Canis lupus familiaris: one gene and its partners. The protein of the gene in region 1 interacts with the protein of each later gene in a pairwise test. Links are inferred from orthologs where the notes say so. Each region holds a gene or a part of one and is shown on either strand. Other genes may lie near its edges.

The links.
Region 2: the proteins of RBBP8 (region 1) and LIMS1 interact in a two-hybrid assay, tested with the Homo sapiens proteins (2 studies listed by BioGRID and IntAct). The two-hybrid records come from large-scale screens. The link is inferred for Canis lupus familiaris from reciprocal best matches to the Homo sapiens genes RBBP8 and LIMS1.
Region 3: the proteins of RBBP8 (region 1) and RBL2 interact in binary tests that used the Homo sapiens proteins (3 or more experiments, as listed by UniProt). The link is inferred for Canis lupus familiaris from reciprocal best matches to the Homo sapiens genes RBBP8 and RBL2.

The regions. Positions count from the first base shown.
Region 1 is NC_049228.1:65,295,198-65,298,849, forward strand, and holds part of RBBP8 (DNA endonuclease RBBP8), read right to left. Parts: intron 1,085-3,652; coding exon 184-1,084; intron 102-183; coding exon 1-101. UniProt on the Homo sapiens protein: Endonuclease that cooperates with the MRE11-RAD50-NBN (MRN) complex in DNA-end resection, the first step of double-strand break (DSB) repair through the homologous recombination (HR) pathway.
Region 2 is NC_049231.1:36,276,697-36,280,908, forward strand, and holds the start of LIMS1 (LIM and senescent cell antigen-like-containing domain protein 1), read right to left. Parts: upstream 2,813-4,212; 5' UTR 2,744-2,812; coding exon 2,562-2,743; intron 1-2,561. UniProt on the Homo sapiens protein: Within the IPP (ILK-PINCH-PARVIN) complex, binds to F-actin, promoting F-actin bundling, a process required to generate force for actin cytoskeleton reorganization and subsequent dynamic cell adhesion events such as cell spreading and migration.
Region 3 is NC_049223.1:61,577,170-61,580,821, reverse strand, and holds part of RBL2 (retinoblastoma-like protein 2), read left to right. Parts: intron 1-41; coding exon 42-172; intron 173-1,245; exon of another isoform or gene 1,246-1,323; intron 1,324-2,751; coding exon 2,752-2,952; intron 2,953-3,652. UniProt on the Homo sapiens protein: Key regulator of entry into cell division. Directly involved in heterochromatin formation by maintaining overall chromatin structure and, in particular, that of constitutive heterochromatin by stabilizing histone methylation.

The DNA of each region.
Region 1 (3,652 bases):
GTTTTAGTAACTCTACATGGATTTAACTGAAGAACGGATGTAAGTTCACATGCTCCACGGACCGACCTGGCTATTTTTGTTGGCTCGTGAGAATCAGCTCCCTAAAACAGAAAGAATTATTAGCATCTAGATGAAATCATGAGCAATAATTTTAATAAAAGTACTTGAACATTTAACACAAACCTTCACATCATCGGAAAGATTCTCTGTCTCCAAACTTTCACGTGGACGTAGAGGGATTTTAAAGATGGGATTTTCTTCCTTGATTTGTAATGGTGTTTTATTATCTGGATATGATTTCTCCAAGGACTGGAGGACGCACTCCTGTAAACAGGGCTCCTCTGGGGAATCTCTGGTAAACACAATGCTCCCACTCAAGCCCTTACGGCTTGAGGAAGAGCCCTTTGGAATGGGCTTCAAGGCCTCATAGAGAGTCACTTGCCTGAATCTGATTTTAGAGGTCTCACTTCCTTGGCTTTTCTCTTGACGCTGAATAGCTGAAAATCGATCAGACAGGTCTAGAGGTTTATCCATTACATAGTCTCCTCCGTTCATGGAAGAATGACTATCCAGTAAAAAAGGAAAAGCATTTTCTTTATCAAAAGAGCCTTGGGGGCAGCTTAGTTCGTCTTCACTTTCTTCTTCAACTTTCCTCCTTTTGGATGTCCTGCTTCCCAATGATTTCAGGGGCACTGCATGTTTTTCTTTATCATTGACAGTATCTTTAATGTGATCAAAACTATCCTGTTCATTTTTGGATTCACTTATGTTTTTACTGATAAGCATCTGCTTAATTGAAGATGACTGGCTAATAATCTTGTTCACTTCAGACCCAAGATTATGATGTGTGAAAAGGGCACTATCTTCAGATTTTGATCTGGTTTTCTCTGATCTAGAAGTAGAAGTGTTGTTGAAGGGTGCTGTTTTCAGGAGGTTTTTTTTCCCAGTCTCTAAGAGAGAAGGGGATAAACTCGTATTCAAGCCTAAACTACGTTTCACATTAGAAGTAGCTCCAAATACAGGAGATGATACCCGAGCAGTCAATTCTTCTTGAGGAGGAGTCCTGGACTTAGAATCTGAAAATCTAAAAAAAAATAAGGAGTGGTAAAACGTTCTTCCTACTAAAGAAATAGGATAAACATTCTAAGACAAGCATATGAGAAAGCTTACACTAAAACAGAATTATTAAGAGTAAGGGTCTTAGCCATGTATCAGACTCATGATTAACCAACATTTGAGATAGGGTAGAGTTGTCAGCTTTTCTTCCTTTGGCTGACAAAAGGCAGAGAGAAATGATACAGTAAATATATCTTAATACCTTGATATTCCTATCCATAAATATTTTTCCTAAGATATTTAAACTTCACCATATAAAAAAATCATATTTTAATAAATTCCACTGGAGACTCAAATTCTTTTGTTGATATGAAATCTCATCATAAGTAACTTCAAAACACAAAATTCTTATACTATAGAATTGAACATAACTTAAGACTGAGCCTCCTTTTAGCAGAGTAGACAGCTGATAGTAGAAAGAGTATTGGGTTAAAGTTTGAAGATGTGGAATGGGCAAGAGCTCTGGCTCTAGTCATTAACAGCTATATGGTATTAAAAAAGGCATTTAACCTCTGTGGACTTGTGTTTCTGTTGACTAAAAAATAGGAGTAATAAAACCTACTTTAATGAGTTACTTTGAGCAGCCACTTTGGAAAACTGTGTGGAGGTTCCTCAAAGAGTTAAAAATAGATCTGCCCTACAACTCAGCAATTGCACTGCTGGGGATTTACCCCAAAGATACAGATGCAGTGAATTGCTGGGACACCTGCACCCGGATGTTTATAGCAGCAAGGTCCACAATAGCCAAACTGTGGAAGGAGCCTCGGTGTCCATCGAAAGATGAATGGAGAAAGATGATGTGGTTTATGTATACAATGGAATATTACTCAGCCATTAGAAACGATGAATACCCACCATTTGCTTCGACGTGGATGGAACTGGAGGGTATTATGCTGAGTGAAATAAGTCAATCAGAGAAGGACAAACATTATATGGTCTCATTCATTTGGGGAATATAAAAAAATAGTGAAAGGGAATAAAGGGGAAAGGAGAAAAAATGAGTGGGAAATAACAGAAAGGGAGACAGACCATGAGAGACTCCTAACTCTGGGAAACGAACAAGGGGTGGTGGAAAGGGAGGTGGGCGGGGGTGACTGGGTGACGGGGACCAAGGGGGGCACTTGATGGGATGAGCACTGGGTGTTATGCTATATGTTGGCAAATTGAACTCCAATAAAAAAAAAGAGTTACTTTGATGACAAATTAAATATATGTATCTAAAACCAAAAGCAGGGATCCCTGGGTGGCGCAGCGGTTTGGCGCCTGCCTTTGGCCCAGGGCGCGATCCTGGAGACCAGGGATCGAATCCCACATCGGGCTCCCGGTGCATGGAGCCTGCTTCTCCCTCTGCCTGTGTCTCTGCCTCTCTCTCTCTCTCTCTCTCTGTAACTATCATAAATAAAAAAAATAAAAAAAATAAAAATAAAAAAAAAACCAAAAGCACTTTTAGAAAGCTAAAGTATTACATAAATATAGGTATTACTAGTTAGCAGATATTCTGAAGTTAGTAAATGAGTTGCAACACAATCTTAAAAATTAATGTAAGCTTATAGATGCATTTTATACAACACCTAGTTTTTGGAAATACAAACACAGAAGGGATGATTGGGTCTTTATAGAGGTAGAGTAACAAGGCTGAAACTTAAATAATGCTTGATAGAAGAACAGAAAGAGGAACGCCTGGGTAGCTCAGCGGTTGAGCATCTGCCTTTAGCTTAGGGCGTGATCTTGGGATCCGGGATCAAGTCCTGTATCAGGCTCTCTGTAGGGAGCCTGTTTTTCCCTCTGCCTATGTCTCTGCCTCTCTCTGTGTGTTTCTCATGAATAAATAAATAAATCTTAAAAAAAAAAACAAAACCTAAAAAATAATATCTTTCTCTCTACAGCAATGCAAAAGGCCCTCAATTCATCATAAAGTAGGGAAAAAATATATAAAGATTTATTTGTTTGAGGGGGGGACAATTGTGAGGAGGGGAGAGGTACAGGAGAGAAAATCTCCAGCAGACTCCCCACTAAGCATGGAACCTGACTTGGGGCTCAATCCCATGACCCTGAGATTATGACCTGAGCTGAAATCCAGACCAGGATGCTTAACTGACTTCATTACCCAGGCACCTCATGGGGAAATTTAAAAAAAGTTTTAATTTTTATTTATTTATTTTTTGAAGATTTTATTTATTTATTCAAAACAGACATAGGGAGAGAGAGGGAGAGACACAAGCAGAGAGAGAAGTAGGCTCCATTCAGGGAACCTGATGTGGGACTCAATCCCAGGACTCCAGGATCATACCCTGGGGTGAAGGCAGGTGCTCAACCACTGAGCCACCCAGGCATCCCTGGGAAATTTTTTTTTAAATAAAAATTAAGGGACGCCTGGATGGCTCAGTGGTTGAGTATCTGCCTTTAGCTCAGGGCGTGATCCCAGGCTCCTGGGATCGAGTTCCACATTGGGCTCCCCGCAGGAAGACTGTTTCTCCCTCTGCCTCTGTGCTTCTCTGTGTCTCTCATGAATAAATAAATAAAATCTTAAATAAAT
Region 2 (4,212 bases), on another chromosome or scaffold:
CTGGATGAAGTATGGTAAACCAACACCTGCCCTAATATCGTTTCGAGGAAAAAATTTTTAAAAAGTATATAACTCTGAAAGCCAGAAGATGCTACCCAAATATAAAGGCATCATTATTAATTTTGAATCCTCTCAAAAGATTCACCAGATCCTTATAATTTTCACAGAACTCTCAAAAAGCAGGAAGAGAAGGACATTCTGGAATATCCTGCTCCATTATCTAGATCAAGTAGTTCTCAAAGTATAGGGGTCACTGTGACCCATTTAGGGGTTCAAAAGGTCCTTTTTCCACCTGCATCTGTGGGAGGCCTATTTTCTTTGTATATATATCTAAGGCAACATATAACACTAAGATAAATGCAGAAACAGAACTGAGAAACTGTCTTAGACTGTCATTAATGAAGATTTGAAAATATGTAATTCAATGCCACTTTTCCCACCAAACTTTTTTCATTTTGGAAAGAGTTATTTTTCATAAAAATTAACACTTATGAATAAATGCATAATGAGTTTATGTATCTCAAATGAATACATATTTAATTTTGTTCTTAGTTTGTATTTTCAGTAAATATTGATAAGCAAAAGCTCTCTGCAGACCTCAATACCTTTTTATTATTATTTATTTATTTATTTATTCATTCATTCATTCATTCATTCATTCATGAGAGACACAGAGAGGCAGAGACACAGGCAGAGGAAGAACCAGGCTCCACGTAGGGAACCCGATGCGGAACTCGATTCCAGGTCTCCAGGATCACGCCTTGGGCCAAAGGCGGCACTAAACCGCTGAGCCACCTGGGCTGCCCTTAAGAGTGGAAAGCAGTCCTAATATCAAAGCATTTGTCACCTGTTTCCTACTCATTGTACTAAACACTGTTTATATTCTAATTCAAATACTGAAATAGTGAGAAAATAGGTAGACAGTTTCTCATACACAGGAAAAATAAACTAGCTTTGGAGATAATATGTATTTTTGAAGAAGTATTCCTTTTAATAACAAGCAGGATAAGAAAAGAAACTACATTAGAGGAAACTTTCAGGAAAGAACCCCTAATAATCTCACTAACCTACTGAACTGTTTACATTAACTTTCCTTTCTTGTCTTTGACCCTCTGGCACTATATATTTCTTTCAATTGACTGTTTTTTTGAGCAGTTTTAAGTTTACAGTGAAACTGAGGCAAAAGGAGTCGAGTTCCCCTTCATCCCCACGTGCAAGCCTCCCCTGCTACCAACATCTCTACCATAAACGTAGTCTGTTATGACTGATGATGAATCTACAGTGACCTATGCATTTGTTTATAACTGTTTTTATATATAAAAGTTACATTTTAGAAGTCATGAATGATAGTTACAACTGTCATCTGGCTAGTTATAATTAGTCGGCTAATTTTTCAAAAAAGGATTTTTGCTAAGAAGTATTGATGATAAAGAATATATATGTTGGGAAATATATATGTAGAAGCCTTTAGTACAGAACCTTCACATTTGGCCAGTAATAACTGATTTACCCAATCCACTTCTACAGATGAACCATACACAGAAAACTTGGTATCACTGGGCTTTTTTTCAAGTGTCTCACTGTTAAAAGTATGTAAAACAAATTTGCTGGCATCAAAACGAAAAAAATGTGTAAATCCAAAAAGCATCTTAAGAGTCCACAGAGCATTTTGGTTACAGTATAATTATAATTGCCCAATTACATTTATTTTTTTTTTTTTTCCCCATTACATTTAAACAGAACTCTTTATAAGTCGTGAAAACAGAGGACATCTGTTATAATACCACACATAATAGATTAATGGAAATAGAGAATCAGGTCAGTTAAATTCCCCTTAACTCATGATTGACAAATTGAGGATTTGCAGTTAATTCTAAGCTTATGACTTTGCGGAAGATCAACAATCTTCCATGAGTCTAACTACTACTTTGCACTACTTTTTAAAATTGTTTGCTAAAACTCATTTAATAACATGAATTAGACTTTTTAGAGTTAATGGCATATATATGGCATATATATATACACACACACACACACACACACACACACCTATATTTGCTAAATACACAACATTCTTATTTATTGATTCAATCCCCTTAAGACAATATTAAGAAATCCAGTTTGCCTACCTCAAATTGCTGTTAAACCTAACAAAAATGTGTATCTTTATCAACAGTCTGTAATTCAGTTTTACTGTTTCCCTCAACCAACTTGTCATCTGTGGGAAGTTTAAGAGTATACAATCTTTCTATTATAAACCCTGCCAGCAGCAACTCTAAGCCTCCCCCTTGGACTACATAATGAAAATGTACTATTATGAGGAACCTACTGAACACAAAGACATTACTACTATTACTTTAAAGGCAGCATTTTCCTTTACTTCTGCATCTCATCTGGTGTATCTCCCCGCCTGCTGGAATAGGCCTCCCTCCCCTCCATCACTCTGGAATGCCCCTGCTCAGAGTCGAGGAAATAAAACTATCAATGGCTACTGAACTCAAAGCCCAAGCAGACTAGATCTGGAAGATAGGAGCTCCTCTTCCAGGAGAGGAGACACTTACAATTTTGCATAAAAGTCACAAAACTCCTTGTAGACCTTTACGTCACTGTGCCTGCGCTGTAATTTGGACACAGCCCGCTCGTCTTCATTGCCATTAGCCTGGTGGACACTGTTAAGGACTGCCTGGGGGATTTCTTCATTCTCTGGGATAACACAAGGGTGCACCCTGCCCGGGAACGCCATCCCAGGGTGCCTGAGAGCTCCAAGCCCGGGGCAGAGAGTAGCAGGGCAGGGGACGGAGAAACAATATCCAGGCCTCCCCTGCTTCCCTGCCAGGGTCACTCCCACTGTTCCCACACACGTCAGCCCTGCGTTTGCCAGGGTCGCTCCTGGCCCTTCATATTAAGAGCTCTAACAGCAAAGCAGTCACTTGCTGTGCCAGTCCTGAGTTTTGAGGCATTTCTGGAAGCTCTAGAAAACATTCCCCAGAGCAGTGACACAGTCTTTGCTGGAGCAGCCTTCCCGGCAGACTGTGTCTGTAAACACTGCTTCAGAAATAGAGGACTGGTTGGCAGGGTCCAAGAGAAACAAACATCCACATGCCCTGGGGGATCTGTCACCAGGCATTATCCACATGAACACTGTGGTTCTTGTAAAACACCCTCAGATATTGTTTCTAACAAGCTCCCCACTGAGGCTAACGCAGCTGGCACACACTGGGGGACATCTTAATGCCCAGGACATGCTTGTCAGCTATGCCCATGGCTATCTTTCACCAAGGATCTGTGAGTCCCTAAGAATTTGGAGCTACTTTTGACTCTTATTGATCCTAGCAGTTGGCACATAGCAAGAGCTGGATGATGTGTTCAATGAATGGACACGAGGAAATAGGAAAGAGTTGGGCATCTAGTTAGAAACCCTCAGCTAATCCTGGTCTTTATTATGGTTAAAGATGCTGCTGGCATTCCTGCTATAGTCAGTCCACATTGCTGTCATCTTGCAGCAGTACTGCAGAAGAGGAGGGTGATGATGTAGGCCATGGGCAATACAAGGGCTCAAAACATTTCTCCAGGAACAGTCCTCTGAGCACCAAGGTGCCCTCCTAACCAAAATTAAGGTACCAAGGACCACTAAAGAAAGAAACACTAGAGATGAGAGCCATGAAATCAACAGCAAACAAACAGACAAAATGCAGCTGGGACTTCCAAGTAACAACTAATAAATAATAATGCTATGCATTATGCTCATTATTGCATCCCTTATAAGGTAGGTATTATTTACAGGTGAGGAACTGAGATTCAAGGAGGCTGAATAACCCAGTAAGTACGTGGTAGAGTCAAGATTTAAATCTAGGGAGCTTCATCCTAGAGCCTATGTTGTCAACTACCATGTGAGAAAATGGTTAAACACAATCACTGGAGAACAAAATAAGTTAACTAGAAAAGATTAAGTAGTAGGTACAAATGAGATAGAAGCCCAAAATGAGATCTAGTCTTCCCTCTTTGAACCCTAAAGATCTCAGAGTACAAGTCAGAAATTAAAAGGCTGTGGGCTACGGATCCTCCCCAAGCCCCAAGCCTGTGGCTAATGCAGTAGGAAAAATCATCATTTTTAAATAGGAAAGAAGTGACCTCCTGGTTGAAATGGTGAATGAGATCTTGACATTTACAGCAACCTGGATGGGCATAGAGGATATTATGCTAAGTGAAATA
Region 3 (3,652 bases), on another chromosome or scaffold:
ATAGCTGGTTAACTAAACATCAATTTTCTTTTATTTTACAGGGAAATGATCTTCACTGGTTAGCATGTGCCTTATATGTGGCTTGCAGAAAATCTGTGCCAACTGTAAGCAAAGGGACAGTTGAAGGAAACTATGTATCTTTAACTAGAATCCTGAGATGTTCAGAGCAGAGGTAACTATATCAGAGTTTGAAAACTAGAGAATGACAAATATGAAAGCCCCAAAATCATAGTGTTAGTAAGAATTCTCTTTGTTCATTATCTCCTGGGTGTTTGTATCTATAGAGTGCTGAATTTAGAAACTAGGTCATGGTTTCCCTTTACCACATCTAAGTTAGTATCTATTATATTATACTTCTTTGGCGAAAACTATTGAAATTTTAATGTGTTAGGCAATTTTATAAAGAGTTTGCTGTTAAACATTATGATTTACCATTGCACAGTGTTGGGAGAATTCTAAATAAGGATATTGAGAAACTTTAGGAAGTACTCTAAATTGCAAAGGTTAATAAAATACAGTATTAAACTTAGAACTGCATGGACAGAATTTGTATTTTACTATATGGAATGTGTAAATACCTCTCCTTTTCGTTGAGGGATAAGCAACAGTATTATGATTATTGGAAGAGTCAAATGATGTTTTAAAGAAGAGGCAGAAAGAAATCGTTTTTCTATCTGTTGTATAATTGAATTGATTATTATTTATGCCTTTTGGGTGAATTTTCTTTTATGATTCACTAAGGATTGATGGAAAAAGGATATTTGGCACTTTGTTGGGAGAATACCACTGTCAAAATTTATGTACCTAATAGTTTAAAAAATCACTAATTAATCACTTAATTAGTCTGATCAATATTAGACTAATTAACAAGAAATGTAATATTTTAGCTGTAGTCTATTTCTTAACCTTGAGCTCCATCCTGAGTTATATTTAGGCCTAAGGACAAGAGGCAGTGCATAAAGAGTTGAATACCTGGGCTGTAAACCTGCATAAGTGGACTTAAATAAGGTGCAAAAATAAAATCATTATGGAGACGAAAAGTGGAGGCAGAGTAATCCAGTTAAGTGACAGATAAGGAACTTTAGAAGCAAAGGTCAAATTATAGAATCTTCATCATAAACAATAGTAAATTGAACTTACCCAATATTTTAATGCAAGTAATACAGTCCTAGGCTTCAGTTGTATTTCCATTTTAAAAACTCAGTTTCTATCTTTAAATTTTTACCTCTGGGTTCAGATTATTTACTGCCATAATGGACTAAAATGGATTAAAAACAAAGAGTATATTGGGAGAAGATATTTACAGTATGTATAACTGAAAAGGTCAGTATCCAGGATTATATAAAGAACTAGTAACAAATGGTTGCATGATTGACAAACAACTACTAAAAGTGGGTAAAGAATGATTTCACAAAGGTCAAAACTCACATACCTATATGTGAGTATATATGTAAAGACGCTCAATTTCACTAGAAATCAAGGAAGTTCAAAGTAAAAAACAAAGTAACTGTCATTCTCTTCAAATTGGGGAAATTTGGAGTCTGATAAAACCTTTGGTCATTATTTGGTCATTATTCAGAGAAATGGGAGCTCTATGTTGCTGATGTACTTGGTGAGAGTATAAATTGCCATGGCCACTTAAATGGGAAATTCAGCCATATCTGGTCGAGCTGAAGATGCACAGTCTCTGACTTAGCACTTCTACTTATTGGTGTGGTTCCTAAAGAAGCTCTTACATACATCTACAAGGATGTATTGATTACAGCATTTTTTTGGTCAGAATGTAAAATTAGAAGCCTCAATTTCCATTGGTTGGGAAACCAATGCAAAAAATCATGGTAGTTCATACTAAAGAATATTTTTTTTAATTTATTTTTTATTGGTGTTCAATTTACTAACATACAGAATAATCCCCAGTGCCCGTCACCCATTCACTCCCACCCCCCGCCCTCCTCCCCTTCTACCACCCGTAGTTCGTTTCCCAGAGTTAGCAGTCTTTACGTTCTGTCTCCCTTTCTGATATTTCCCACACATTTCTTCTCCCTTCCCTTATATTCCCTTTCACTATTATTTATTAAAGAATATTTTTAATAGTTAAAATGAAGGAGATCTGCATGTATCAATGTTAATTTCAGAAATACTGAATGAAAAAGCAAGTTGCAGAATGCCACTTATATAGTATGATACTATTTATGTAAAATCTTAAAACTACACATACAAAAGATACTACATAGTGTTTATGGATACATGTAGACCTGTATTGTAACTACATTAGATAGTAAGTATAAAAACATGGATGGGAAGGATTCGGACTAACTTTAGAATGGTGGTGATCTTTGAGGAGGCAGAGCAGTCAGAGGAGAGTTTGGGAAGGAGGACAAAGTGGGAATTTGGCAGTTTCTGTAGAACCTAAAGCCAACACGGCAAAATTTATTTAGTATGTGAATGTTTGTTAAATCTGGCAGTTGGGTACATAAGTGTCGGTTACATTACTCTGATTAATTATTTTGTACTTTTATATATTTCATAATTTAAAAAATAAAACCCTTCGATAACCTCAGAAAAAAACAGATTAGGAAAATCGGAGAAATAAACCAGTCTGTAAGAGATGAAGCTAATCAGAGACATGAGTTGTGATATTTATCACTGTCTCAAAGTAATATAACTTAATGAGTTAAATTTTGATGTAATTACATTTGTGTACTCTATCTTGTTAATGTTGAAAATATCTCTCTTTATTTTTAATATCAGCTTAATTGAATTTTTTAACAAGATGAAGAAGTGGGAAGACATGGCAAATCTCCCCCCACATTTCAGAGAACGTACCGAGAGATTAGAAAGAAACTTCACTGTTTCAGCGGTAATTTTTAAGAAATATGAACCCATTTTTCAGGACATTTTTAAATATCCTCAAGAGGAGCAGCCCCGTCAACAGAGAGGAAGAAAACAGCGGTATGTTTTTGTATTTGTTCGTCAGGAATACGTATACATATATTTTATCTGTGCTACAGTTTTGATCTCTCAGTTTGTGCTCCTCCGCTTATTTTGCTAGTTGTTTGTTTGTTTTTAGAGAGAGAGAGAAAGTATATGTATGTGAGGTGGGGGGAGGGGCAGAGAGAATCTCAAGCAGGCTCTTTGCCCAGTAAGGAGGCAAGGAGGCAGGTGAAGAGGCCACTCTGGGGCCCAGCCTCACAACTGGTGAAGCCATGACCTGAGCCAAAATCAAGATTTGGTCTCATAACTGATTGAGCCACCCAGATGCCCCGATTTTGCTAGTCTTAAAAAAACAAATGCGATTTCAAAAATAATCTCTTTTTCTGGGCAGCCTGGGTGGCTCAGCGGTTTAGTGCCGCCTTCAGCCCAGGGCCTGATCCTGGAGACCCAGGATCGAGTCCCACGTCGGGCTCCCTGCATGGAGCCTGCTTCTCCCTCCTCCTGTGTCTCTGCCAATCTCTCTCTCTCTCTCTGTCTCTGTGTATCTCTCATGAATAAATAAATAAAATCTTTAAAAAAAAATAATCTCTTTCCAGCAGCTCTCTTTTAATAATAATTTCTTGCTTTCATTGCATGTTAGCCATGAAGAATTTGGCTTCCTTCACATTGCAAAATGCATGGAATTACTGTTTCAATAAACTTGCCCTTTTCACTGAAG